Linked DNA regions of Lepisosteus oculatus. The protein of the gene in region 2 purifies or fractionates together with the protein of the main gene of each other region. This does not show direct contact. Links are inferred from orthologs where the notes say so. Each region holds a gene or a part of one and is shown on either strand. Other genes may lie near its edges. The genes, in order: cep97, cep76, centriolar coiled-coil protein of 110 kDa and cep290.

The links.
Region 1: the proteins of cep76 (region 2) and cep97 purify together in Homo sapiens (co-immunoprecipitation; 4 studies listed by BioGRID and IntAct, with this or other methods). This does not show direct contact. The link is inferred for Lepisosteus oculatus from reciprocal best matches to the Homo sapiens genes CEP76 and CEP97.
Region 3: the proteins of cep76 (region 2) and centriolar coiled-coil protein of 110 kDa purify together in Homo sapiens (co-immunoprecipitation; 4 studies listed by BioGRID and IntAct, with this or other methods). This does not show direct contact. The link is inferred for Lepisosteus oculatus from reciprocal best matches to the Homo sapiens genes CEP76 and CCP110.
Region 4: the proteins of cep76 (region 2) and cep290 purify together in Homo sapiens (co-immunoprecipitation; 5 studies listed by BioGRID and IntAct, with this or other methods). This does not show direct contact. The link is inferred for Lepisosteus oculatus from reciprocal best matches to the Homo sapiens genes CEP76 and CEP290.

Annotation. Positions count from the first base shown.
Region 1 is NC_090710.1:28,114,316-28,122,338, forward strand, and holds the start of cep97 (centrosomal protein of 97 kDa), read left to right. Parts: upstream 1-4,999; 5' UTR 5,000-5,025; coding exon 5,026-5,074; intron 5,075-5,098; exon of another isoform or gene 5,099-5,693; coding exon of another isoform or gene 5,694-5,727; intron 5,728-7,319; coding exon 7,320-7,462; exon of another isoform or gene 7,463-7,506; intron 7,507-8,023. Other genes in the region: rpl24 (large ribosomal subunit protein eL24), read right to left, coding at 855-935, 1,921-1,984, 2,375-2,511, 2,954-3,064, 4,587-4,662, 4,790-4,794. UniProt on the Homo sapiens protein: Acts as a key negative regulator of ciliogenesis in collaboration with CCP110 by capping the mother centriole thereby preventing cilia formation. Required for recruitment of CCP110 to the centrosome.
Region 2 is NC_090705.1:9,336,141-9,343,717, reverse strand, and holds the start of cep76 (centrosomal protein of 76 kDa), read left to right. Parts: upstream 1-4,558; 5' UTR 4,559-4,747; coding exon 4,748-4,810; intron 4,811-6,173; coding exon 6,174-6,329; intron 6,330-7,003; coding exon 7,004-7,085; intron 7,086-7,493; coding exon 7,494-7,577. Other genes in the region: psmg2 (proteasome assembly chaperone 2), read right to left, coding at 248-368, 1,205-1,378, 2,101-2,219, 2,888-2,946, 3,813-3,984, 4,109-4,165. UniProt on the Homo sapiens protein: Centrosomal protein involved in regulation of centriole duplication. Required to limit centriole duplication to once per cell cycle by preventing centriole reduplication.
Region 3 is NC_090714.1:3,117,190-3,124,986, forward strand, and holds the start of centriolar coiled-coil protein of 110 kDa, read right to left. Parts: upstream 3,014-7,797; 5' UTR 2,811-3,013; intron 1,617-2,810; exon of another isoform or gene 888-1,616; intron 501-887; 5' UTR 486-500; coding exon 348-485; intron 1-347. Other genes in the region: gde1 (glycerophosphodiester phosphodiesterase 1), read left to right, coding at 5,114-5,380.
Region 4 is NC_090702.1:17,387,268-17,394,114, reverse strand, and holds the start of cep290 (centrosomal protein of 290 kDa), read right to left. Parts: upstream 3,022-6,847; 5' UTR 2,945-3,021; exon of another isoform or gene 2,938-2,944; intron 2,099-2,937; 5' UTR 2,076-2,098; coding exon 1,974-2,075; intron 1-1,973. Other genes in the region: protein O-mannosyl-transferase TMTC3, read left to right, coding at 3,329-3,433, 4,814-5,005. UniProt on the Homo sapiens protein: Involved in early and late steps in cilia formation. Its association with CCP110 is required for inhibition of primary cilia formation by CCP110.

The DNA.
Region 1 (8,023 bases), on a different chromosome or scaffold from region 2:
AGAGACGGTATTAGATTCTGGATAACTTCACCCCGATTGACGCATCAGAATCTTATGCTACAACTGGCGATTATAATCGAGTTTATTAATTATGTTTGGTCATTATCTCGAGAGCGTAGTAGACTTAATTGGGTAAGTGGAAGTGTCAATGAACCGCTTTCCCTTCGAGGTTCTTGTTTAGCTCATATTTAGCACAAATATTACCTTGTAAGGAAATGCTTACGTATTTTTGGTAGTAAACGAAAACAAAACCCAAACTTATAGTTCAAATTTACGCTTCGTCTTATCGGTGCAATATCTTGAATCAGTGTTGCCATTAAGTATTTTTAAGATATACAATTTTTTTATAAACCGTCCTCTACATATAAAGGCTCCTGTTATTGCAGTACTCCAAATAAACATTAGTAAAATGTTACTTTAACAATAGTTTAAAGGTATGCATCACCTCTAATAAAATCATCTGCCTTCATTACTAGTGCATATATTCAGAGAAAAACAGCACCACCTTAGTGATGACCAAAGTATTGGGGTAAACACCATTAAAAGGTTTCAGTTGTGATCACTTAGAAATGTCTAGCAAAATATTCTGCCCAGATTAATTTAAATTGGGACTCAATTAGCAGTCTTCCCCTAATTATTTAACCTTGTGCAGAAAAAATCGATGCGGTTATTAACAGCACTCTGAAGAACATAGGGTAGCAAAGACATGCACGGTGGTCCCATAAACAGACAAATCTGTTCACAGCCACATGACAAAACTCGAACTGGCAACACCCATGTATAAAGAGACTCAAGGCAACATACAGTACACACTGTCAAAAGCTTTATTCACAAATGGTCATCGGATCTTAAATTTAGCGCTTTCCACCAACACGTGGAGCCTGTGCCTTCATAGGCTTGGCAATCTTCTGCTTCGGAGCTGCTTTCGCAGGGGCCTGCACAGGAGAAGAAGAATACACATCAGTCTCTGCATATAATCAAAGAGCTGTATTACAGAATCAAGAATCCCCATCCGGAGGATAACCGTTTCTATGCTCTGTGCTTGAGTTAAAATCTGTTGAGCAATTTCAATCACCAAACTATTCACATTGTATACCTCAGGTACAGCCAAATTCTGATGTGTTTTAGTAACAGCCTCCTACAAGCTATATGCTTGTATATTTGAAGTAAAACATCTTGTTTTGAGTAAGTTAAATAAATGAGGTTGCAGTGTTATTTACATTTTAATTTTTGCTTCCCAAGTACAACTTGTAAAAGCTTGGAAATCTTACAACTTGACATAGATAAAAATTCAAAGCAATGTGGATTATTAACTATAAGCTTTTTTTAATTCTAAACGGCACAATGGGTACTACATAAACACCTATGACTGATACTGATTAATCTTAATTTATTTTGCACTAAGTTGATTGCTATCTTGCCATTTACAATTCTGAAGAAATTTAACAGAGCTACTACACAGGGTGTTTCAAAAACAGCACCTTTAATGAATGGCATAATAGAGAAAACATGCAGTAATTAGTTCTGTATGATTAAAACGGGTGTCACACAAATGAAGACCACTTTCCAGTCCAACCTTTTTACTTTTCATTAAGCCCCCCCACACTGACTCCCCTCACTTCTCTAACCTCTTCAAAGTAGGAAACACAAAATATGAAAAAAACGAGTAGGGATGCACACAAAGAGGTGCGTTTATAAATCACTATATCATAAACTAAAGAAAACCTTAACCCTGTTACAGTGAACATGTCCTTATAACACCCTTTAAGGAATTAAAATGCAGTTAACATAAATGTCTTTCTGGAAGGTGAAGTGCATCTCCTCTATATGTAAAGCACTTTGGAGTCCTTCGGGATAAGAGGTGTCATATAGTCTGTGTAAAGAGTATGGTCAACTGGAAATAAATGCCGATAACTTTACCTTAGCACTTGGAGCAGCCACCTTCTTAGTTGCCTGTTTGGCCTTTTTGGCTTCTTTTGCAGCCCTGTACATACAGAACAAGAAAAAAGATCAACAACTATAACCCACCACAATCGCCATCAATCTTGCTTCCTTTCTCAGCAGATATCTGTCTTTCAACGGAGTCTTAAAATTCATATGAAGCTCCAGACTTCCAAGTTACTCCTCAAAAAAACTGTCATTTTAAACACAACCGTGGCAGATCTGTTGCAAGCAAGAAAAGGGATTCGACACCCAAGTCCGATTCTGCTGCAAGTTCAGGAAAAAGACTCCACTTAAGGTAAATGCAGAAAGGGAAAAGAGGGAGGCAAGAATGTAACAGACTTTTCCAATAGCCAGGGAAAGCACCAAAGTTTGTCAATGATCGGACATTCCCCTCGAGTACACCTCCTCAGACACCCCAGTTTTCCCTCACCTGATGGCCTGCTCCCGCTGGGCCTTGCGGACCTCGGGCTTCTGGTTCCTCTTGGCCAGGATCTCAGCAAGAGAGGCACCAGTGATGGCCCTCTGGAACTTCACAGCCCGACGAGTTCGCTTCTTCTGAACCTCTTCCTTTCAGCAGAGCAAACCACAAAGACAATTAGATCAGTGCAGCACTGAGTCTTTCAGACCTAGTCCGACTGTCGTTGTACTGGGTTTCCTTGGATTCTTTCAATGGTGCCAATCAGGAGGGAGTACTTCATTCTACAGGCTGCAGTAATGCTCAACATTCTCACCAAATGATGCAATGAAAACTTCCATGATATCAGTCTTTATGTGTGCGTTGAACAATTCTGAACAAAATTCACAGGCAGCTCCTGCTTGATAAACTAGGTTGTCAAGTTCACAAGAGCAGCTTTGTGACTCTGCAAGCAGCAAAATCTCATCAAAACACTGAAATGTTAGCAATGATTGTTTAACGATACAAGTATTCAACCAAAACACATAAAATGGCAAGGTTACACTAGCGTTGGTCACATGGACATAGCCAGCAGCCCCTGCCTTCAACACTTACAGACTGGCCTTTCTTGTGCTTGCGTCTGTAGAGGACAGTCCAGTTGATCTGTCGGGGATTCCTCTTGGACAGGAAGGCCGACTCGCATTTTGCATTCAGGAACTGGAAGACCTTTTGTAAAGAGCAGTGGAAATCTCAGACTGGTTGACATTACCACACCCTATTGCCGTTAGACAACGTCCCCCCCCATCAGATTCCACTTTTAAGACCCCACTTCCTCTCCACTTTTCACAGTGCACGTTTCTGATCCACATATCCAATCAGAACAGAAAGAAGAAAAAACTGTCAATATCACTAACGATGTTCCATCCACCTTACCATCACCGTTGGCCCTCTAGACCTCGATCCCTATCAATCTGTGACAAAAACGCCTGGACCAGGGGGAAGCTACACTGGCTCTCAAGTGCCAGCCTACTGTGGGTCCCAGAGGCACCTTTTAGCTACTACCCGATGAGACCTTGAGAACACAGCTGACTTGACTGATCCACCTGTTTCAGGAAGAAGTTGAGAATCCTCCAGGCTACTGACAAAGTCAAGCCAGCTAAAACTGTTGAGAATGAACGCTAACCAGAGGACAAGTGAAAACCATGTGGAAGGGCTTTTAAAAAAAGGCAGTTCCTTACCCAAAGGGTTGTAGGGGCATGTAACAAGCTGCACAGCTTTGTTGCTGAAGTGGACACCTGGCTTCTTTCAAGAAACAGCTCTAATGGATCAATGAACTATTAAGTACCAGACCCAATAGACTTCTCTCATGGGAACTTTCTCATGTTCTCAAATTTCAAGTCATTAAGGTCTTAAGTGGAAATAACAGAAACACTAATAGTGCTGGCAGACCAGTTGCCTTCCCCAGACTGTAAACATGCTATTTATCAACAAGGGCCAAACCATCCTTCCTGTACCATGAATTTTAGTCTGCCAACTTGTAGCCAAGTAGAACTTAGCAATAACATTGTCGCCTAAAGGCCCTGCAGTTTCACATGAGTACTCAAGTTTTAACAGCTCTGCTAGTGATACTATTTACACGCACAAGTTCCCATTTTAATCCGTCAGTCTCGTGGGGGAAAAAAAAAAGTTTCACTTTATAAACTCGGCTGAAAACATCTGATCTGCAAGAATGGCTTACTAGCGCTTTCACGGGACAGTGCCGCCATTAAATAGCATCTTGGAGGATGGAACAAACCATTCCTCGGAGAAGTTTGCTTTGTCACAGAGCACGTTCACTCAGACATGTGTCATAGAAATTACCCTGAAACAAGGACTGATCACCGAGTCATAAATCAAATGCATGGATAGCAAAACCACAACGTTTCTAGCTTTCCAACGGAAGAACCATGCGTGTTTGGACTGTACCGAGGATGCGAGAGCAGCCACTTTATAAAACCCCCCAAAATCCAAATTCAATCACACAAAATAATGACTGGCCTAAGCAACAATTCACCTAGAAGTTAAAACATCTACGTTCGCGCCACAAGACGTACGGACAAGTTGTTGTACTTCAGGCATTTAAAGAACTGCGTAAGTTAAAAAGATAATCTTCTCAAATCTGACAGAAAGTGAACTGTCATTTGATTTGTACAATAATTCCAGCAAGAGGGAAACCGGTACAGACAAGGCCGGCGGAACCCCTGTTTACCTTTCCGTCTATCCTGGCGTATCGCCGGCCGTGACCGGGGTAGATCTTGTACCCACTGAAACTACAAAGCTCGACCCTGAAAAGAAGAAAGACAACATGATTACAGATTTTAAAGGTTGTACTCGGCTAACGTACTACCCAAGTTGCGTTATTTTGATGGTTTTAAGCTCAGATGGCCACGGATAAGACTCAGAAACACTCACTTCATGACGGCGGCTAAGATGGAGAAAAGAAAGAGGGGATTGTGGGTAATCCATTTGTACGAAACTGTAATTAATTGATTATCAGAATACCTCCATGAAATCCAAGAGAAGGCCGCATACATTCTTAAATTTAACAAACAAATGCGTTTTTATTTTCATTTCAAACATTTTCTATCGAAATTAAACAGCCAATAAGCAGTTAAGTTGGTTGCTTGGCGTTAGTACAAGCGGGAAGTATGGCGGCGATGGAGGGGGGAGTAGAAGCTAAAATGTTAGAGATAAAAGGTATGGTGTTCTGTTCACTTAGAGTGTAAACCGTGTCACATTTTCTCTAGACCTCTGTCGTGGGGGGATCTACACACGGCCACAGATATCGAGAACGCCTTTTGGTGTAATTCCATCATACAATAAGGTTTTGCGTTTGTTTTGGATCAAGGCGCAACTGGCCCGATGCGTAATGGGTGTTGTAGTTTTTTTGTGTTCTCATAATTCCGGAGTTGGGAGTAAGAGCCCCGAGGTTGGGGACTACAGGTCCCACGATGCCTTGTAAAGTCATGGTGACAGTTGGTAGGAACTGAAGTGTAGTCGTTACTGCTGAGAGTCTTCGCTGCTCACCCTGTTTCTTTTGGAAATACGATATTGGATTAAAATAACCTTTAGATTAATGCAGCCATACATTTAAAATAAGTTCTGTGGAGCCGCTGGTTTATTGTGTTCCTTTCGTTTACAAAGAGTCGTGAAAGTATTCAATTTTACAAGGCTGTTTCTCAAACAACTGTCAGGAGATTTCTGTTTTAACTGTAAAGCCGTGTCCTGTTATATTTAAGATTGTAAACATATGGAAAACGCAGTTTAGCTAACGAGAATAGTGTCTTTGAACGAGAACTGTTACTATATTTGAAACATGGGAGTAGAAAGCCCGAAGTTAGACAAATATGGTAAGTACGAGTTTTACACATTTTCTTCTAGCATACTCTAGCTATGATTTTCAATTTTGTACTACCCGCTTCTGAAATATCTTAAATCTGTACATATATTTCAACATTAATTTAGTTATGCTATTATAATAGTCATTGCAACCACATCGGGCATTTTTATTTGGTACTCGACGGTATTCTGTTCGTCTATAAGAGTATATTTGCGTCTATAAAAACCCTATTTCTGTTATTCAACCAGAACAGCCCAGAGCGCTTGGTATACTGAACACCGTTGGAACAATGCTTGGAATCACAGCGGACTATTTGAATACGAAAAAACCTTTAAAATGGGTCTAGTCAAGTTCACGTCTCCAGATTTGGAAAATGACTACTGTATGCCTCCTTGCCTGCATTGTTTTCATTTATGTGACTCCTCTTTCTCTTCCTTTGGGATAGTGGGATAGAATGTCTGCTTTTATAAAGAAATTCCACATTCAAATCGAATGAGATGTGGCCCTGTGCAGTCTTGATAAAAGTTACTCTTAAATCCATGAATGTTACAAATTATTCGTGTAAGGGATTGGTTGGTTTTTTTTATGAGTAAGGAATCACATTTAAGAGGCAGTGTATTACATTACATTTCCCCCAAAATTCCTGTTATCTAGTTAGTGCTGACATCCATGGTCCTTTAGCGGAGACAGTGGGGGACTGGAGTGTACTGTAGCAGATGAAGCTCCTAGATGCTTGCAGTCAAGTGTCTCTGTGAGAAGCTGTCTAATACTGCTTCCTTTGGTTAGCAGCATGGAGAGAATATAATCCTTACATTGATATCGTGCTTTACTGGACACTCCACTCAAAGCAGTTTACAGGTAATGGGTACTCCCATCTACTAAGAATGTACAGCCCATCCTGGATGATGTGACGACACTATAGTGCGTCAGTACACTCCCCACACACCAGCTCTCAGTGGGGAGGAGAACGGAGTGATGAAGCCAGTTCAGAGATGGGGATTATTAGGAGGCCATGATAGGTAAAGGCCAGGGGGGAATTTGTCCAGGACACCAGGATAACACCCCTACTCTTTTTGAGAAATGCCCTAGGATTTTAAGTGACCACAGAAAGTCAGGACCCCGGTTTTATGTCTGATCTGAAGGACGGCGCCTTTTTACAGTCTAGTGTCCCCATCACTGTACTGGGGCGTAGGACCCACACAGACCTCAGCATGAGCGCTCCCCGCTGATCCCACTAACACCTCTTCCAGCAGCAACCTGAGCTTTCCCAGGAGGTCTCCCATCCAGGTTCTGACCAGGCTCACACCTGCTGAGCTCCTGTGGAGCTGTTATAGAATACTGCTGACTGAGTGGGAGGGGATTGTGCTGTTCTTTTTTGTTTTGCTTGTTCTTTGAGACATTTTAGGCAAATATAAAACTGTTTCCGCGAGATGGCTATCAGGTTACCCTAATGTATTGTGATAAGTCTGGGATTCTATCCCTTGACGATGTAATTTCACCTGTTTCCTGTTTTGGAATCTTCTGTATCTTCCTGGCTGTTGTGATGTGCCTGTCTGGGTTGTCCACCCTAGTACAGTCCTCTTGTGTTCGCTGTGTGCTCAGGCCCTGTGGTGGACCTCTCTGCCCAGGGGATCCAGAGGCTGGAGCCTTCTCTCCCCTGCCCCGCTGGTGCCCACACTCTCATCCTGGACCGGAACCAGATCATAAAGCTCGAGCACCTGGAGAAGTGTGAGGAGCTCCTGCAGGTCTGACCTGGAACCCGATCTCATCTCGTTAATGTATTCATGAGGTCTCAACCGAAAGCTCCCCATCTAGCTTGTTTTTATTCTTAAATATTTTCTTTTGATCTTTGCTGCTCTCGTCTGCTGAAAATGTGAAAGAGATGTACAGTAGTTTATCATACAACTCAACTTTTTTATGGGCATAGTGGATACGCTGTTGAGTTCCTTGAGCTTAGCTGCATGGGGCCCTGTGTATGTCAGTAAATTAATAAACAGTGCCATTGGTTAAAAAAAAAAACAATTTTTTAATTCCTATGTATGAATGTTGCATGTAGAACATTTTGGGATAAAAAAGGGGATCCACTTTACCTACTACAGAAACATAGCACCCATCTATGGGTTGGTGGATCAGCTTGCAGCTTCACTGCCCACTAAGGAGAAGTGAGAAATTAAATCACTTGCTGAATTAAGAGGGAAGTTTAATTGGATATGATTCTGTAATGCCAGGGGGAATTTAGCAAGTAATCTGGACCTCAACTCAAACTCTCATCTCAAGACTGTCATTTTCTCCAGCAGTCCCATTTC
Region 2 (7,577 bases):
TTATTTATTTAGAAAAAAACATAAATATGATTTTATTCCATCCAGTACTTAAAAGTTTTAGAATTCCTAATGTTTTTATGTAAAAAAAGGTCACAAATATTATCTATAACTGAACACTTTTCACAATGAGCAGCTGGGCTGGCTTCCTTTGCTAAAATTATGGATGGTAAGACTGAATTTTCCATCCTATTAGCAACACCCAAATCTAAACAAAACCCGCATAGCTAACTCTTGTTGAAATACTTACGGGCTTCTCCACCAGATGGAGCCACTCATTGAGGTAGTTCACTAGTGCAAAAGCATGTGGCATATTGTCACCTTCGGAGCAGAATATCAACAGCACTGCTAATGGGATCCCTTCTGAACAGCTGAAATACAGAAATACACAAATCTCTCCCAATATATGTTTGCACTGCACAGAAAATATCAGTTTTATTCAGACAAGTCCAGTACAGAAAGTGTGGTGAACTGTATGTGTCGGCACACATGGTTAATCTAGGGTGACAGTTATAAGAATGTTTTCTTTTTATTGTATTCAGTATTCATAAGTAATAATTACAATTTATAAATGTTTGCTTCCTAGTATTATCTACTACACCAAAAGGAATAGTTTGGACGGGGGTTACTCCCAACTTTTTGCCAATATTTTACAAGCAGGACAAATCTACATCTTTGTAGAACACAGTGTACGATTGATCAGAAATGCCTCCCAACAAGACCCGTAGGCTTTTAGTTCAGCGGGTCTGGAATCAATCCTGAGAAGAGCCTGACAGCCTTACACTGACAGACCCGATATAAGTATTCAAATTCTTCAAAGACACTGACAAAGTCAACCCTGTGAGCTTTTTTAGAATTCACTAGAAAAAAAAAAGGAGTAGAAATGGACAGTGAATTAATGTGAACTTGATTTATTTGTTGGCTTTCTCTATATAACCTTAGGGCTCTGGCCTGTACGTTCAGATGCATGCTGATTTCTCTCTAGATCGTTTGGTTTGTTACATGTACATCCAGCATAAAGCTCCCATGCTATTTCAATAAATTAATTTGAATTTAGCAATCAGATTGGTGGAATACAGACGACTTTTAACTCAGCGGGTTAATTTAAAGAATAAGGCCCTGGACACTAGTGTAAAAGGGAGAATAGTACATTTAGCAGTGCAGGGTTCACTGAAAGTCCTGAACGCCGCAGTCTCGCTGGACGTACCAGTCAGCGTAGAGGGTTTTAGTGACACCTCCTCCAGGGATGTACAGGCGTTGCTCCGTGTCACTGATCCCCGGAAAAGCCGACACCTTCTCCATCTCTTTCCAGTCCAGCTTCTGCAGTCCATCTCCGACAACGCTCTGCAGGGCAGGAGTGAGCAAATAGCGCAGAGGAGTGCTGGAAGCAGAGGACGGAATATTTCTTTTTTGTCAATATAGTCAACCTCATATAAGCATAGAGATCCAAAAGACCAGGACAGCGATTCAACGAGCCCAGTTATAGAGGCTGAGTGTGGAGCGAGCACGAGCAGTGAGGAAGGAGACTTCAAGAGCGTAGATATCGATGATCGAGGAGCAGTAATAATGCACACAGCCAAGGTGGGCCTCTCTCAGCCAGTCCCATGTGGTCAATTTAGCATTTTCCAATTGACGACCGTGTTTGTTTTATTATCATCATTTTTTTTTATTTGATGTTTTGTGCGCAGTTCAATTTCCTATGTGTGCTGATCTCGTAACCTGTGCGTGCGCTTACCCGCCCACAGCTCAGAGGGAACATTGCTCATACCACACATTACTACACAACAATTCAACTAATGTAATGCTACTTTGCGTTAAAGGTATAGGTTAAAGGTACTTTGCGCAGGATAATTGTCCATCCAGAACATCGGGAAGAAAAGGTTTAAACGAACTAAAGCTTCTGCCTGTCTGCTTTATTCTTTATTCTTATTCCCCTCAACATTGTGCTGCTGAAAGACCACACAGAATCAGCAGTAAATCTGCTAGCCACTTGTTTTTATCTACTGGGTCAAAGAGCCATCAATGTGAAATACTACATTCATCACAGAGAAGAGAAAGACAAAATGACATAAAACCGAAGATTAAAGATGAGAGGTCTCTCACCTGAGGAGCTGACGGTCATCCCGATGATGAGCATGACAGCTAGACAGGAGGACAACTTTGGAGAATTTGTTTGTCTTGATCCAGGAGACAACACGTTTCCGAAACTGCCTGTATTTCGTCTAATAAGGCAAGAAAGAAACGATTAGACCTATTCCTGTAAGTTGAATGGTCACAGAAAAGCTGTACTAACAAAATGACAGACTAGCTTTTTTACAAGTAATAGAGGTTTATTCCATGCTGAAAAAAAAGAAGAAAGAGAACACAACGTTTCGGCCGTGGAGCCTTCTTCAGGTCTGGGCTTGGTCACACACCAAGGTCACACACCTGAAGAAGGCTCCACGGCCGAAACGTTGTGTTCTCTTTCTTCTTTTTTTCCAGCATGGAATAAACCTATTACTTGTTCCTTTGCAGCCTACGCATCTGACGCAGCTACCCACCTGAACTAGCTTTTTTACTACCCATAATTTAAACTCAAAGGAATGGACCATTGTAACTTATTATAATACACTTATTATGAAAGCCAACAAAGCTGCAGAAGTATACAATAAAAGTGATATAATGAATGCGACTTCACTAGCACTGAATGTGCGATTATAGGTTTATGTACTTTTCTTCTTGAACATTCACTACACTTCGGTGGGGCTCTACACAAATATAGTAGTCCTACTTGTGGTGGAGTTAATTACTCCGTCTACCTTCTTAGACAGGTTAATTACCCTTAATGACTTAATTAGTCTAATTAATTCATCTAATCAGCCTACTTAGCCTCTGGTCCATAGCTTCTTACCTGTATGATGGGAGCCCGGATCTGAAGGACAGCCAGCTTTAAGTCAGGCAAAGAGTACACTGTGCACAGACAAAAACAGAAAATGCCACTGACATTTCTTTGGATGTAACTTTTTATCATTAAATCTATATACAGTACTAAATACATCTGTAACACAGAATGTGCAGACTTATATGGAAAGAGGCACAGCACTTGAATTGTCAGAATGTTACATACAATTTTGGTCACTACATCATAAAAAATCATTTGTTGTTCTTTCATCAGTCCAGCAAAGAACCACCAGACATTCAGGGACTGAATGGAATATCCTATACGAACAGGCTACACGCACTGAACCTTTTTCATCTTGAACACAGAAGACTACAAGGGGACCTGAACCAAGTTTTAAACATTCTCAAAGGCACTGACAAAGTCAACCCAGTGGTCTTCTTTAGAATAAACAAGAGGACACAAGTAGAAACTGACAGTGAATAAACGTGAGCGTGAATTATTTGCTGGTTTTCTCTAGAAAAGCTTATGTTCTGGCCTGTATCAGAAAAAGAATATCCACTGTAAGTGTGAGTTCAGATGAATACTGAACGTTCTTTTGGTGGACTACATGTACGTCCAGCATGAAATTCACATATTATTTCAATAAACGTATTGATTTAAATCTACAACACTTAAAGATGCAATAATAATTTATAGATGCAAATTATTATGCATTTTAAGGATGATCTTAAATCACTACATAGCCTGAACCTGCTATAGTACACAGCAGATCGGTTATTTACAAGAGTTTGAGAACTACAACAAAACTACCACACATTCAAGACAAGCTGTGTCAGTTTGGTACGGGCTATCTAAAAAATCTAAACTTCGTTGCATCCAGACGCGTTGATGCATATACGTATCTTTGATGAGCAGAATCCGTCCACATACTAACCTTCGGCATTTGTACTGAGTTCAGATGAATCTTCTGGCGATGTGGCATAGGGATTATTTCCTACCATGGGTACTAGACAGTCACTGTGGAAATAGCCCACTCGAGGCATGTGAAGGGTAGAAATGACCAGGTCTGTTGCAAACTGTCCCACGTTTCCCACCGATACCGCCGGCTACAATCAACCACAGGATAACAGCAAAGTAAAGGAACGGAAAAATATATAAGCCCTTTTTTAACATGTAAATTAACAACTAGAAAAAAACAACATTAAGCATAATGTAAAACGTCTAACTTACCATTATAAGGGTAAACTCTTTGAAAGAGGGCGCTGAGCACCCAACCGGAATAAACATGTTTGCGAGTAAGAAAAATAGACAATTCGGTAAAATGATTTTTAACTGTACTAATGTGTACAGAATGACAACTTTCCGTTTCACTACAACTCCATGCTACTTCCAGGGTCCTTCCTTGACATGACGCTCGCTTGGAGTCTGTTACGTTGAGGGTGGACTTATATGGTGCCTGATGAAAACTAAAATGACTTTTTGTTAGACACAAAATATATAACGAAAATGTCATTATCTTTAAAAAGTATGGACAAATATATAAATTGGGTGTAATATGTGTGCTATTTCCCTTTGCTGCATTTTATTTTGTGCAAGATTAAGTCGGGCACTACAATGGATGGCTTCCCGCTGGCTTTTCCGCCACGGTTTGAAAGTTCTGTCTGCTCGTTGGTTGTTGTGGGGAGGAGACGAGCTTGACGGTTCAGACTGCTGCTTTCGAAAACCTGGAAAGCGAAATCAGCCCCCCTTTTTTTTTAGTTTGACCAGTTTCAATTTAAGTAAGCAGGGGGAGTGTGAAAGTAGTCACGTAATTAAATAAGTAACGATTTGTTCGTTGGGACTTCTATACAGTAGACGTCCTCTGTGAGCATGTCTCTTCCACCAGAAAAGGCTTCTGAGCTGAAACAGATCATTCACAACCACTTGACAAAGGTGAGTACAGTATTAGTCTCACCAGAGACGCCTGCATGCTTTGGAGAAATAATATGATCTTAACCCATCGTCCAGACTTTCCAAAGAAACGAGTCCGGAGCTTAAAGTTTGCGGGAATAATGTTGTAGCACTCGAAGATACTTATGGGCCACTTCAGTGAAAGTACAGGTAGCTAATGTGACAGGTAACAGTCCGTCTTTCTAAGCTGTTCCTGCTGTCATGTTTTCGGCTTCAGGTTGAGCATTCAGTCGGTAAGGTTTCCTCCTGGTTTTAGTTGCCCGATTGCTGTGCTCTGTCCACGGTTCTGAATTGTTGTCTGATCTCTTAAATTCCGGACTCTGTAGTTGCCAACATTAAATAGTTCCTTTGGCCTACAGTTCTTAAAAAAAAATATTTGAAATCAACTCAAGCATTTTTCGAAATAATCAGATAACCATCATCGCACTCTGCAGACCCACTGGGGAAGGCCTTGGTACAGAACTGTGCTTCTTGTAGGTTCAGTGCGACTAAGCTTTAACGCATGCTACTGTATTAGCACTCAGAAAATGGGCGTATGTACCACGAGAAATCATATTTTAATGTGAAAATTTTAATCAAGATCGTGTTCAAGCTGTATGCGGCGTTTATTTGAAGATACAGTGTAAACAATTTTTGTTTTCATCATTCACATATCTTCTACGGTAGTTTGATTCCAGCGAAGATGAAAGAAGGCCTTTGGTCCAATCCACCTCTTATGTTAGTAGCTGATTGCCGTTTCTTGCCTGAAGCCAGGGTACAGGCTACAACACAATGTCTGGGTAGTTTGATTCATAATACTCTCACCCTTTCTGGGATAAAGAAGTAATAATAATAATAATAATAATAATAATAATAATTGCTTACACTTATATAGCACTTTTCTGGACACTCCACTCAAAGCGCTTTTACAGGTAATGGAGACTCCCCTCCACCACCTGGATGATGCGACGGCAGCCATAGTGCACCAGAACGCTCACCACACATCAGCTATTAGTGGGGAGGAGAGCAGAGAGTAATGAAGCCAATTCATAGAGGGGGATTATTAGGAGGCCATGATTGGTAAGGGCCAATGGGAAATTTGGCCAGGACGCCGGGATTACACCCCTACTCTTTTCGAGAAACGCCCAGGGATTTTTAATGACCACAGAGAGTCCGGACCTCGGTTTTACGTCTCATCCGAAGGACGGCACCTGTTTACAGTATAGTGTCCCCATCACTATACTGGGGCATTAGGACCCACATGGACTGCAGTGTCTGCTGGCCCCAATAACACCTCTACCAGTAGCAACCTAAGTTTTTCCCAGGAGGTGTATCTAATGGATGTATCTAATGGATGCATGTGCAGATCGATATCCATGGGAAGATCCGGGATGTCTTGGCTGAGACCGTGCGGGAGGAGCTGGGCTCTGGACATCACAATCTCTCGGAAGAGGACTTAATACGGGGTTTGCAACGAAGGGGGATCGTCGATGATGTCATGAAGGACCTAAGCTTTGTGCAGGTGAGTGTTTGATTCAGATCAGGATTACAATCCAGTTTATCTCGCGGTATCTTACCGACGCAGAAAACTATCTCTGTTTTCGGTTGTTTCCATTTTAACTCTGTATCTATGTTTTCAATAATAATAATAATAATAATAATAATAATAATAATAATAATAAACTTTATTTTATATAGCGCCTTTAAAGGTGGCTTCTCAAAGCGCTTTACAGGATGACAATAACAATAAATAAGAAGACTACAACAATAAATAGGAAGATTTCACAAGATAAGACACAATTACAATTACAACAATAACAATAGAGGAGACCGTGGAAGGTGGTACTAAGAAGAGCAGAGGGGTGAAGAATGGAACCAGTTAAGTAAAGGCTTTTCTGAAGAAGAAGGTTTTGAGTCTGGATTTGAAGGAGTTTAGAGAAGCTGACTCTCGGATATCCTTGGGCAAAGAGTTCCAGAGCTTGGGGGCATAGCAGGAGAAGGCCCTGTCGCCCATACAATGTAGACGGGCTTGGGGGACAGTAAGGAGGGCTTACTTAATAATGAAGGAAGGACACTTATTTGTTGGGAAGTGTGCTGTTAAGTACATGATACTGTATAAGGGTGACATGTTTTCCCCCCGTGAAGAAATCTCCTGATGTCTGTTTCCCTTCCCTCTGTGTGTGTGGCCTGGATTAGGAATTGCCAAGCAGAGAGGCCATCTCTACTCCTAAACCCTCAACACATTTTGTCGACAAGGAGCCAGCACAACTCAAGAAAAGTAAGAAAGACTTTTAACGATATGCAGTGCAATAATGTTTGGTCCATTCAGTTAAATTGGAAGAACTGAACTGGAAATTACCATTTACCATTTTAATGGCATATTACATAAAGGCAAAAAAAAAAATCTTACAATAGGCAGTCTGATTTACTTCAGGGTATGCGTTAGTGTTAGCTTTTTGACTCCGAAAATACTGGTTTAACGGTTCGCTTGTGCTACAAAACTATCGTGCAGTACTTCCTTGCTTTACTAAAAAGTAGAAATGGGATTTTTTTACTGAGTGTGAACATGAAGTAATCCTTTTGTCACTGTTATTTATCGATTACTTTAAAATGAGCCTAATTCTAACTCCATAATCGCATTAATGGCCCATCGGCGTCTCCTAATTGAGGTTAATTTCTTTTCCAGCCAACATTGACCCAACAAGAAGGTACCTTTACCTGCAGGTTCTTGGGGGAAAGGCTTTTCTGGAGCATCTCCAGGAGCCTGAGC
Region 3 (7,797 bases), on a different chromosome or scaffold from region 2:
GCTGTAGACGTAGACGAGATTTAGTCTGGATTTATGTAATGTACTGGGCACGCTGGTCCCCCAGGCAGGTGCCGTACGCCAATGATGGATGAAGTGGGTCCCCTCTTATGTGCAAAAAAGCTTGGGATCCTTAAGGGGGAAAAGAGTCTGACATAAGCAAGGAATGATTACGATGGTGACTAGGCTAGCGTCTCTGCATTCTACTGATCCCAACTGTGTGGAACAAACCACCAAGCACTGCGGTCGAAGCGGATCCCTAAGAGAACAGGCTGGATGTGTTTCTGGAACCATCAGCAACCCAGTAAATAAGACAGATGTCTTTATATGTGACATTTTGCTTTCCCTACCAGAGGTGACAGTACTGGCATTCCATGGAACTGGATGATGGAGAGCTCCCCCTGCTGGTGGGTGGCCACGCCGTGGGTCTGCCCCTGCGCCTGCAGGTGTGCCAAGCTGCGTGTGCAGAAGTCCTCGTAGCTCTCCATCCCCGCGCAGGCAAACTGCAGAGAGGCAACACAGGGGACAGCCATGTTCATTCTCTCCTGACAGCACAGCAAAGCACAGCAAAGCAAGCACCAGGCTGTAGTGCTTCACATGTCTTTCACTGGACAAGAATGCCAAGCTGCAGAGGCCCAGGAACAAACATGACGCCCGCTGCAGAGCACCGGCATTCATTTTGCGTAACAAAAGTTGCAGGCAGCTTTATCAGAACAAAAACTGCAACGGAGAAACAAAAAAGAAAACATTTTTAAAGTCACCTATCTACATATGACTATTTACCAAATGTAAGGGCACAAACTTGAAATTTCCTTTACCTAAGATTGTCTTTGTAGCCACGAACTTCTAAATAGACAAAATGCACACTGAAAGGGAGTCTGATTCGTTACCCAGTAACAAGCTCCTGACTTGACTGTAACACAGCCCCTGAACAAGGCTGGACTCCCAGCAAACTCCTTTTCCCAGGGAGAATGAAGTCATCGCTCGTGGCAGTGTCTGCAGGGAACAGCCAATGCGAACAGCAGCTTCACAAAGCAGCCCCACCTTCTCAACTGACCCCCCTTTCAAAGACACCAGGCGGTCATTTTCCCTTCAGTCAGAAGTGCAAGAGGAGGGGGTCCATCCACGGCCACCTCCGACGGGCCAACGAAGAAAACCTCGCTAAAACATTTAATACACCCGTTACCATTCTGCACACAACCATACAGACTAATAATATGGCAACTTATCCAACCACCCATCTTCTAACTACTTCTTCCAAATTCCCAGCAAGCAACGGGCGCAAGTCAGGGTACGCGCTGGACAGGGCGGCAGGCCATCGCAGGACAGACAGTCACACCAGGACCCGCTGCGTCACAGAAGCCAGTTATCCTATCAGCACGTCTTTGGACAGCGGGAGGAAACCGGAGCTCCCAGGGGACACCCACATGGACATGGGGAGAACATGCAAACTCCACACAGACAGCGCCCCCGGGGCAGGAATTGAACCCAGGCCTCCGGAGCTGCGAGGCAGCAATGCTGACCACTATGTATGTCAAAAAATCTATATAATCGTCTGCATGAAGAGCAAGTGGTGCTAATACCTTCTCCAAGGTGAACTCAAATTTTTAAAAAAATCTTTAAAAAAAAAACATTTCGCGTGGTCCTCGTAGTCAGCCAGAGTCTGTAGACTTATTTGGTCATAAATGAGAGGGTATTTATCCTTCAAATGGGAAAAGTTTCCAATAACTGTTGTCATTCCCAAGGAGCTGTGATGAATTAGACAGGTAAAATCTGATTATACAGTAGGTATCTTTAAACTGATACATCTGTAAACAGTTCACATGCCTCTAAGAACAGTACAGGTACAGTGCATACAGTACATATTTTAGCTTTTTTTTAAAAAAGAGTAGGGTAGAGCTTAAGGTGGTAAATAATAGGTACTAACAGTAAAGTAGTCAAATTAACACTGATTTCCTCTGTCAAACGTTTTTCAAGCCTTTTGAATCAAATTAAATGTTCTACCTACCAATCTTTACCTCAGAAAAACCCAGCCAAGATAGGAAGGTAATGAGTAAAATACGATCACGGGCCAACTCTTCAGAGGAACAAGTATTTTCAAACCAAAGGCTGTAAGTAAATGAATGTACTCATTAAGAAAACGACTAATTATTATTGCAAAAAACTATTTATTAGGTACACAGATTATATTTGCCTGACCGTTGCAATTTCTCTGACACAACCCAGACTCACGCTATAACCTTTCACTCCAAATTAATTAACAAACTTATGGGGGCAAACCTGTGGTTTAGTGCATTTCTTTTTTTATTTACTGTGTAGCAACCCATGTTTCCTCTTCTGACTTGTTAAAACAAAACACAGTTTTCCAGAAATGTCTCCTGGACCATAATGCCCCAGCAGTTCCGACTCCTAACGCGTTTCCACCCGCAACGGCTGAGCTCGTTAAATACAGTCTTTCTCCTATCCTGCTGTATTCTTCCGTGCCTTTTAAGATAAACGATATATGAAAAACAACTTTATACTGTCATAAAATATCCGAGGGCTTTTTAAGCTGTATACTAAATCGTATAAATACGGTAATAACCATTCTCCGCATAAAACCGTACTGGAATCGCAAAATTTATCATTTTTTCGCCACTGTACGAAATGCTGTACGCGTGAAGAGTCTAGGATTATCAAAGACTGAAAACTATCTTATAACGAAATAAGTGGTGCTGTTAACCAACGGCAACCAGCCCAGCTATAAACACCCCGCTATAATGAACTTGCTGTAATGATTGTGACAGTTCATCATGAGAAAGCCCCCTCCTTACCTCACGTCCAAATGACACGCAAAACGAAGAAACGGGCCTACTTTTCCTTAAATTTCACAGAAATGCCGTCGGTGAGATCGTAAATCGGTTATACTACGTGCGCACGAATACGGTGGTTTCGTCAACATGGTTATTTTTGTCGGTTTCTAGCATAAAACACCAACGCCCGCCTCTCCCTAGCAGCCGCCATCTTCCGGCGGCAACAGCGCCTCCTAGCAACCCCTAAGCCCCGCCCACTGCCGGGAGGCCGTGAAAAGCCGACTCACTCTGTACAGGGCAACAGCAGATGCACCGACATCCCCTCTTCACACGTCCACTGAGCACCAGAGGAACTTTTAACACTTGGTACAGTTCTGTGTGAATCTGTTAGGTTTATGAGGCAGGGGACAATCTTTCTCCGGCAGCTGCACCGTCATTTTATCGAACAAATATCCACCCACTTTCTTATCCTTATGTATTCAAGGTAGCACCAGTCCATTGTAGGGCAGACGGACACCCATACCTGGGCCAACTTTCCCAAAAGTTAATTAACCTGCCAGTGGCTCTGGGCTGAGGGAGACAACCAGAGCACCTAAAGGAAACCCAGGTGAACACAGGCAGAACATACAAACTCCACACAGACAGCATCCCAGGTCTGGCATTGGACCCAAGGCACATTAGCACATCCATTTTCAAGCCTTTTTCAGATAGTTTTTCCCCTTAGCTTTTCAGCACTTAAACATGAGCCACCTTTGAGGATAAAACATTTACAACCATCTTCACATCCCTCACCCACAGCAAACATCAGGCACAACAAGCAAATCCACCTCCATCATTTAAATCATTCTCAGAGGCCTCGCTTCAGAACTGCTCTCTGCTGGGAGGTGAAGGATGAGCACGTCCCTCGTGCAAAAAGCAACTGCAAGTAAAACACACACATGCACAGCCATCACGGATTGAAGTCTTACTTTATTAAGTGGGCTGCTTTTCTGACACCCCCAAACAACAGAGCTTTACAAAGGAGCTCTGGACAGCCTTTACAATGCAGTCTACTTTTAGAGAGTTGACAACTCTCAACAGCGGTTAACAATTGTAGTCCACTGCAACAAGCCCCAGCTCCTGGTAGGCAGCTCAAAGGGTCCAAACGCTTTCAAAACTCACAATCGGCTCTCAGGCAGAACAGCTGAGGAGACTCCTAACACAAATACACACACTCTGCCACTCCCCCCTCTGAGCGCTATATACACCAACCAGTACTGATTGATCCCCCTGTGAGAATGTGACCTCTAAACCCTTCACCAATCACCTAATTAATTAATTACCACTCCGTGAGACTATGTCCAGATAACAGCAGCTTTAATTATCCTCTAATGCAGATCAGCTGATAAAGCCGTCCTCTTACAAACTGGCCTGCTCTAGTAAAATGGGCACAGCTTTGTCGTCTTTTTGAGAATCAAACACGTTTACAGCAAATAAATGTTAAACTGTTTTATTAACGTCATTAAAGTTCACGGCAGGCTTTTCCAGCTCATCGTTTATGTCCACTGTCATTTTCTGGGACTAAATCAGTACAATAAAGCACCAGTTTCAGTTATTCCTTTAATTTTGAACAAGCTGAATTGTCAGCAATAAATCAATATTCAAAAACGGACTCGATATCTTCAGTATCCGGAAAAGTACTCCTTCATTGAGGGAACGATTATACACTATATTGTTTGGGGGTTTCTATTTCATCGAGCGGAGTTATTTCGTGGACTAGATTTTGGGCGTGGCCCAGAAAAATGGCTCAGTAATACAAACAGCGTCCAGTTTGGATGGTTTAACTTAAAAAAAAAAAACAACCCTGTATGGACCATTTACCACTGCATACAATCTGACTGAAGGTTTATTTTCGATTTCTGCAGCTAGCGCCAGTGACAATGGTACTGGGAAGGGGGGAGTAGGTGAATCTAACAAATCCCATCCAGCATCTAAATTAATATTCATTCTCCCCGAGACGAAACGACTGGGTTGCAATACAGTCAAGGGTCAAGGCGGCCGAGCACCCTACCCCCCTGCGCGGGCGAGGCCCCCCGCCGGTCGGGTCTCCCAGCCCCGCCGGGGGTAAGTGCGCCTTGCGCTGTTATTGGTCGGGTCCTGCGGGCCCGGCCCTGCCCACTCCCCCGGGCGGAGAGGACGCTTGCGCGCTGGGCTGGACGGCCAGGCACAAGAGCGCTGTTAGCGCCGGGTCCCGACCGCCTCCCCCAGCTGACAGCGCCGGCACACGGAGCCGTGCCTCGGCGGTAGCCGGATCGTCACACAGACGCACACACGGGTCCGCCACAATGCTGCAGCTAGGAGATGGGCTAGCCTTCTTCTCCGTCGTTTTCTTCGTGCTGCTGCTGGGCACCCGGAGCCCGCTGTGCTCCACCGGCGGGACGGCGGCTCTCTACCTCTTCCTGGTCCTGTTCCGGTACCCGCCGGTGCCGGCGAGCCGGGCCCAGAGGGTGCTGCGCCCCGACCGACGGGCGGCCGGCGGCGGCGTGGCGGTGGTGGCGCACCGCGGCGGGGGACATGACGCTCCGGAGAACACCCTGGCCGCTATCCGGAAGGTGAGTCCCCGCTTTGGGCATGGACAAACCCCGGCGCCCGCTGTGTCTTCCCCCACCCCTTCTCTCGACCGCGGAACAAAACGGAGGGTTTTTAAATTGTGTGTGGACCGGGTGTTTTGAACGCGTCCACCGCCTGACACGACGCATGCTCGCACCAAGGAAAGGGAAACGGATGCGAAATTTACAGGTCTTTAATGAGGGGGGGACAGCAGACCGGACTTGCACAACACTTCACATCATCCACTAGAGGAACCTCATGCGTGTCGTTAGTAACAGCAGTGTTGGATCCAGCTCAGAGAGCTCGGATTGGAAACCCAAGCAGACTGTGCTGTACGAGGAGAGCGTGAAAGAGCATGGTGCATCCCCACCTGCGGCCGCAAGGCGGCGGCATCCTGCCTAGGAATGGCCTAGTTTTAATTGTCTGATGCATTAAACGACAAACAAGGGTCGTTTCCCCACTACCTGGGCACTTCACTTAAGCACTTTGAGTGAAAAGGGGACTAAATAGGGCCGCAATGACCCACGGGATTAAAACCTTAGTGTGGAGAAGTGGTTTAAGCTTGATCTCTGTGGGGGGGGGGGGGGGAACTGCTTTGGAGCAACTAGACTTGTTACGGCCCAAGACCAGTTTGTTGGAATATAAACTGGAAGCAGTTTAACATACAAAACGCAGGCCTCTGCGAGCCCTTCCGGTAGTGAGCACAAGCAGGCAAGCCCTGTGCGAGACCGAGGAGACCCCCTGACCGTCCGACAGACCTCCCCTCCACCTGTACAAAAAGCAGAGGAAAATGAGCACGTAAAGGACATTCCCACCCTTTCAAAACATAAAAAGTACCCTCCAAGTTATATTTACCTAAATCTGTGAACTATTTAAAATAATAAAAACACACTTACACTCGAGACAAAGCACCTGCCCCAACATCGTCTCCTCCTCGGACATGTCGGATATCAAGACAAGACACTTGTAAAACTCCTTCGCGTTAGTCTCCGATTTGAATGTCTTCCTGTTTCGGTGGAGACGCTACTAGTGGGTTATGTTCAGCGGCAGATACCCAAGGTGAAGGTCCAGAAACCTAAATCTCAAAATGAAGCAAAGCAAAGAAAAAATGAAAGCGTTTCTCTAATAACCGAATAATTGCAAGGATGTTTCCTCTGATGCTCATTAGACTAACGAGCAGGATGTTCTACAGCAACAGCAGAACCCGTCGGTTGTACCTCCGCGGCACCATGTAAACCTGAGCTTCGCAGGAGCCTCACCTTAAATACATGCGTTTCTACGAGTCGAAAATAACTCGTTGGCCAGAACAGCAACTTTTGAAACCCGCAGCTCCTTTTTCCCTCGTTTAAATACGTGCCAGTCTCCCGAGGTACGCAGTTCTTAAACCGCACAAGCGGTATCAACAGCTTTTACCTGCAACAAAGCACACCACTTACCGAACAGTTTCTTGTGCAACTTCTACATTCATCTTGCCGTCTCCCCTCTTGCATCGCCGAAAACGCTGCCGATAAGCTTGAGGAACCAGCTTATATGTCCGCTCAATGGTATTTTATAGCCACTTCACAGCCAGGGCTGTGATCCATAGTTAAAGAGGAATAAGCGTCTCTGATTCTACCAAGCACACTCTGGGAGTAAAGACCAAGCTTTGCCCATTCATGCGAAGTAGCTACACGTTTCAAGTAAGCAAAATATTGATCCACCTCTCGGTGAAACCAGACGAATATCCCGGCCTACACCAAACGGAGTAGCTCACATTTTGCTCGCTTCCAGCGCTACCTCTTCCAATCGTAGCGATTTTCTTCAACCGTTTCGTTTCCATCTAGCGCCTTCATTATTAACTCGACCTCCAGTTGTTTCATTCGAAAACCGTCGCTAGACAATTTAACAGGCGATGATGGATCAAAAACAAGTAATTTACGTTTAACCAGAGAAGTACAGTAACTATTTGAGCTTTAAGTTCAGCCTTCCGGGCAGTACAGGTTACGCCCGATTGGAAATATACGGCATTCCAAAAAAAAGTTCAGCCTTTGTGCAGGTTATCAACAAACCCTTAATATCAAAATTCTATAACTGCACAAACAAAACAAAGACGCAGAACAACCGGCACAGCAAACTAACTTCGGTAACCCGGACGAACTCCGCATGTTATGGCCTAAGCCCCGGGTTTGTTATAATATACATAACTAAAGCCTCAACATAAAATAGCTTTACAAACGAAACAGGCCTTTTTCTTTATTTTTCTCCAAACAGGATACTACTCTATCCAAATATACTCCAACACACTTAACATAGGACCCCCCACCCAAAAAAAAACAAACTTATCCAAAACAAGTTTTCCTCAGACTCTCTGACTACTCACACTCCCCTATTCACATAAAACAAGCTAACTTCCCTACAAAACAAAAAACAAACCCAAAAA
Region 4 (6,847 bases), on a different chromosome or scaffold from region 2:
CTACTTGTGAGAATATCATCTTCACCAGCATCCATGAAACAACAACATCTTCAAATTTTGGAACCTTCAGATACAAGCCAGACTTAACATAGGCATGATTAAAGTTATAGTAATCAGTAGTGTGGAGGCTGAAAAAAAGATTGAAGTTGATTAAACAGAACTTTAAAAGTCAACAGCTATGTCTATCATCGTCAAATCAACACACATAAATACCTTAAGGGGAAAATGAAAAGCTGAGACAAGATGAGATGGAGTATATTACAAAAGGAAAAGTACAATACTGAAAGAAAATGTTGCCATTAGTCACAGGGGAAAAGCCTTCAAGCCATCAGTTATTAAAAGCAAAAATCAGAAACTATGAATTCCAAAACAGCACAAATACTTGTGACTGGTAAAACAAGAGAAGACAGAAATAGATGTATCAGTGAGCAATGAACACTATTTAAAAAGTGAAAACATTAACATAGTAATAAGTCATTCGAACTGCAAGAAGAATAGAGCAGTGAGGGATTAAATGGGCAAAGTTCCCAAGAGACAGAGAAATGACTGGGAAAAATAGGTCAAAAGCTTTGCTGAAGTAAGCTGGAAAAAGAAAATGGGAAAAAAAGGACATGCAAGGGAATCTTCGGGACACCAACATCCAGTGGTGGGTATGGAAAGACTAGACATTAATGGAAAGAAAATAAAATCCACAAAAAAGAAACAAATGGTTTCTAATAGTCTGATTTAACAATTTCAATGTACAAGCAATTAATAAAGTCTGTTTTTTCCTCACTGTTTGCATTTAAGTGATTAAAAATGAAATCATAATAAGCTAACCCTGATAACTGCAACACGTTTACAGAGGTCACAAGAAGATTATCTTTTTATGCAGACCTTTTATTGAACTGACAAGCCAAAGGTAAATCTATTATTCTCTTTCACATTTTTTCATCAACAGAGTCGATCAACTAGTTTTCTACTATGAAAGTTACAAACACTTAGCAGGGCCTTTCATAAGAAACTGCAACACAAAATGTATATACAGTAACAAATTGTATTAATTGTATTGACACAACAGACAGATATTGAATAGGGCTTAAGTCCGTTAAGTATGGTAGCCTTGGTACAAACATCCAACAATGACTTTGCAAGAATTCAGATCATACACGAGCAGCCTAAGGACACGCATTATCCTGCTGGAATGTTGTTCTGTCAGGATGTTAATGTAATGCTGTGGGGTCAGGCTGCCATCTACCTCTACAATTTGAGTTCTGTAGTGACTTGAAACTCCTACCCTGACCATTATATCAACACATCCACACTGATTTGTCTGTTGTACACAAAAAATATAGACCCGTTTCACAAATCTGCACCACACTCATTGACAACCATCAGGGTGGTCCAAAGTAACCTTGAATCTTTCTAAAGAGGACTTGGCTACACAGCTGGACAGTCCTCTTAAGGTGACCTAGTCCAACCTACAATATACCAGAGGCGCAAAGACACTGTGGTCTTGGTAAACAAGCAAAGTTATTCCTTTCTGGTATTTCACCAGATTTAAATTACCTTATCATCTGTGCCCCGTCAGTTTCTATTTTAATATTTTTTACAACTGAGATGATTTAGTGCTCATGTAACAGTCAAAGTCACTTGAGTATATTACAAATGTGAATAAAAAATAATCAAAAAGATGCAAATAACATTGTATATTTTAACATTAACGGTGTATATTTTATTTACACAGATGCATATAAATCTATACATTTCTTTTGATGATCAGTACTGTATATATATTACACTTTTATTAATGATGGCAATTTTAGAATATTAGAAATTAAATACAGTACTATAATTAGATTCAAATTTAAATTGTCTTGTATAGATAAACTTAAAAGTGGTGTTAGTGGCTTCCTGTACTATTTTCAGTCAATAAATGTCTCTTGAAAGTGACAAAATTCACGAGTATATATATATAACAAGAAGAACAATACCTGTGAAATGAAATCCAAAAGTTTTTGGGCCAGGCTCTCCTGATCTGTTAAGGCATCTGGATCGACATCCATCAGTTCACCCCAGTCAATTTTTAAAGGCATCTTAAAAGCTGTGTGGTTCCAATCTAGGAAAACATGTTTGTATTTTAAGCTATATCAAAACAACAGTAGCAAAAGTAACCGCTTAAAGGTTTGTAAAAACGAATCCCCTAAAGGTATGTAGATATCTCAAAAGAGCAGGAATGCTAGTTTTATTATGAAATGGACATTTGTGGTTGCACGTTGCAGGAAAAAAAAAAGGTACATGGAAACCTATTTGGAGGGTTATATGAATGATCGTTTTTATAATCTTCTCAGCACACAATAATTAATCCATGCAACATCCAATACTGTGCATCATGATTTTATGAACTCCTGTCATGCAGCCTTCACTATAGGTACTGTAAATTATGTATCGCTTAATAAAAAAGCAGTCCGGTTTATAACAGTAACGAACAGTACCTAACAGGAGGAACAGAATGCACTTAAACATAAAAGACTAAAAAGTCCACTGCTCAAGGGGTTCAATAGCAGGGATGTATCTACTGTATCTAGTTCCCGTTATGTACTCAATAAACAAGCTGATCATCATAACCCATTCCAAGTCAGAAGCAACCCCATAAAGATTAAAAGGTATTGTGGGTGGTAGACATAAAGTTGAAAAGGGTCAGAAAACAGGAAAGCATATTAGAATTTGTGATTTATTAATCATTTTACTAAGAGAAATTTCCCATATGCAACCACGAAACCGTAGCACGACTATTGTTATCAAAACCTGCATGATTTTCAAAAGCAATGCAAGGTAAAAACAATATAATTTATTACTCAAGCCTTCCGACTTTACTAACGACAGGTGTTAAGATACAGTACACTCGCTTCTTTTTCATGAATACAAAATCAAACATCTTTAATTTAAAGTTTAAACCTCATACTATGTCTCCCAGAATATGTTGTGCTGCGATGCTTTCTGTTGCTGCTAGGCTACCACTTCAAACAGTCGAAAATCCAGCACCGCTTTACGGCAGGGAGACGCAAAAATTGCAGTAAAGTTTAAATTAATTCCTGACCGTCCCCCCAGAGCAGCGATTTGAAGTTCTTAGAGAGGAAAAAGAAAAATAACAGAGAAGGAGAGTCTTGAAAAATTCTCAGACAACGTTGTCTTTATTTCTAATCTTACTTAGGGTACGAAACGACAGGGTGAACTTACACAAATGAAAAAAAATAAATAAAAGGGAAATATCTTTGAACCAGACGCTTATGGAGGGGAAATACGTGTAGACTCAAATTCTTCCAATCGTTGCTCAGGTGACGTCAGGATGAGCCAATCATGGTTTGGGAGACGGTTGGTCTGGGACTCTCATGGATTCTCATGCGAAACCCAGTATAAGGAGCATTGCAATGTAATTCAACGCGAATTATATGTATGTATATTTAATGTTATAACGTAAGGGACATCAGTGGAAGCATTTCTTTTATTATTTGCATTAATTTGATATAATTTCCTGTGGGGAGTTAAAACAATTATTCAAAATCTTAAAACAATTGCGTTAATTTCATACTACATTTACTGATAAAAGATTTTTCCCTGCATTATAACTGCATTATTTTACTGTCTGTTAACAAGTCGAAAAGCAAGTAATGACTGAAATACAGGAAATTAAAGAAAGCTTTCTAATATAAACATTCCTCGTTTTTAATTTCAGGCCGCTCCTTTAAGAATCCCCCGTTTCCGCCCCGGAAATGAAGGAAGAAATATGTTACCTGTAGTAACATATTGAACAGGAATGCTATGTACAGTTAAATAAAATAGTGTGTTTCGTTATAGTTTAGCGTCGAGCATGACAAAGCGGTAAGGATGTGATGAATGCCGCTGTAGTCGTAGAGTTTTTGAAGTGTTTGAGAAATAGAAAAAAAAGCTTAGTGTTTTTCCCTAGAATTTCTTCAGTAAGTACAGCTTTTATTCACGTTAGAGAAGTCCGTCGGCCTCATATAACACATTTTGCCTACTACGAAATATAATCTAATACAGCGGCGGTTGTCATTCGTAGGTAGAAATGGTTTAATTATATAAGTTTGTGTAGTATTTTTTTTTTAATTTTGCGATTGTTAAGCATCCGCTGCGAATACATATTGAATAAATCAATGCAAGGCATTCAATACGCGGTCCCTTGATAGATTAGTGACTTCTTAAAAATAAATATTTATATACTTTTAAAATTTCAAAACCTATATTTCAGAAAATGTGGTCATTTAGATTTTTCTCAGTTATTTAATACTTATAATGAATACTCAGCGACCTTTTGTTAAAATACGAGGGTTCCTGATTAATTGATTACGCAAACTAGGATATTCTGGACATGTTTTAATGTTTTCGTTTAGAGAGACTTTGATGGACTACTGTAGCTTTTAGGCTGATACTGTACAATATTCTCTTTGTTAGAAAAACAAAAACATTGAGAACATTTAAAAATACTTTTAGTGTCGGATTTGTGTTAGCCAGACTCTCTTGGAGCCTACAGGTTTTATGGGTGGTATGGAAAGGAGCAGAATACAATTGGCGTTGGCAGACATAACATGCTACCATGTGCTGACAATTTAGTTTTTTCTTCACAGACTCCCATGGCCTAGTTCACACCCTCCAAAGCATTTAATCTCTGCCAGTGGCTATCAGTTAACTTTTTTTTATTCTATTATAATGTCAATGCATTATTTGTTTTATTGGAAAGAGAATGTTGTGAATTGAAATCTTATCTGTTGGGTTGTATTGGTTGTTTTGCAGTAACCAATGAACTTTTTGGTAGATGATGGCTGCAATGACTTGGAAGGAAATTGCACTGTTGGCCGGAGTAGTTGTGGCCTGTTACTGGAACAGCCTGTTCTGCGGATTTGTCTTTGACGATGTCTCCGCTATTCTGGATAACAAGGACCTGCGGCCCACAACTCCACTCCAAAATCTTTTTCTCAATGACTTTTGGGGAACTCCTATGTCAGAGGTAGGTCACTTATAAGTTCTCCAAGAATTTTGCCCTCACATATTTACCATTATAGTAAGTTTTGCTTTGATCGTGCTTCTCAGATTTTTACCAAGCTCCAAAACCTAAAATCCAAAACCCTGGTTTGGTGGAAGTAAATATGGAAATCTTAAAATAGTGGTTTCTGAGACATCTTAGTGTATAAAACTGAACCTACAAACATTATATGCACTCTGCACTTCAAAAATGTTTGGTTTATGTTTCATTTAAACTGAAATTAATTTCCTTACAGAATAGATTAAATTTAAGAGTGTCTTTTCCAATTGAGCTTTCAAAACGTATATTAAAACAGTATTTGAAAACTTTCTTTCAATACTGTTGTAGTACATTTGGGTTGGAGATTTAGATTAGTGAAATTCAATTCCTCTGACTTTTGCAGATTTTTGAAAGTTGTAAGACGTATTGATTCAATATACTTCTTTAATTCATTAACATGCATTTTGTTTTGGTTCAAAATTGTAGTTATTATTTTGATAATCAAAGCTTCAAGGGCACATTATGACCTTTTTGTTTAATGTGCAAACCAACAGACTCTCACTTTTCATTCCTAAAAAGGATATGTTAGGCTATGTTAATTTAAATTCTAAAATGCATTTTTTAAAATGTTTTTTAACCTGTCCCCCCTACCCGCACTCTTCAAATTGTGAATTGTCCTCATGAAAGCAACGCTCAGAAGGGATTAAATGAAGAGCACAAAGCTTCCTACATGTGCGTTCTGGCAATCTGGTTATTTCACACTGCAGGCTAACGCAAATTACAAGCTGGGGTACCTGCGTGTCCAAGTTAAATGTAGATTGTAATGATGCTGCAGAATTTAGCCATGTCTCCATTTGAGTTTCCATTAGCATGCCTTTTGTTTTGATGATGAAAACCAACCCATAAAACAACCCAACTACTATACATGTACAGTATTTTCAGTCAACAGAAAACAGTTTTTTCATCATATCACATTTTTCATGGAATAGTCCCTTTCTTTGCTGTAAAAATATATCACTGTACTTAATTTGTGTACTTAATTCAGTTACAGTTTGCTCTTCTTTTAATGCGGGTCCATGTCAATGTGCATGTCAGCTTTTAGCAGATTCATTATTTATATACTAAAACATGGAAGGTCTTAAGATTACTTAAAGAGAGTTTAAATTGAAGTAGAGTGTATGCTTGGTTATATGGGTGTGATTTGTGACATTAAGATAACATTATTTTATCCTAACCATAAAAATGCTATATTGCAGATTTGCATACTCATATATTGGCTCGTTGAGGTTTTAGTTTATTGCATGTGTTTGGGGGCTGCAGTTAAAGACCTTGTTACATATGCAGTGCATTTACTGAAACCCCTATCATGTAAGCTTATCTGTCAGTTTTTCAAAGAAAAACATTCAATTTGTGTGTTTCAGTAGGAATAGAAGAATAAAGTACAAACCACTTTGATTGTATCAATATGTGTTATCTTACCGTGGTTGTAACTCCAGGTAAACATGAGGTTAAGATGTTTGTTCTATATCTTAGGGACCAGTAAAATATCACAGAAGGTAAAAATAGACAAATGCTTGTAAACAGCTTTACTACCTATACTACAGAGAGGCATTTCATATACTGTAGTCTTAAGTACTGGAATGACTTACCCAGATAAAACAATTCTAAAACGATCAAAGCAGTCCAAAACCAAGAAAAAATTGAAATGAACTCATTAAAAAACTGATGAAGATGTCCACAATTGATTAATTCTGGCTCCGTAATGGTTATTTCGTAAACAAAACTGTTTTAGGTTAGTACTTTGATTAAAGGTGTCTCAGCCTAGTA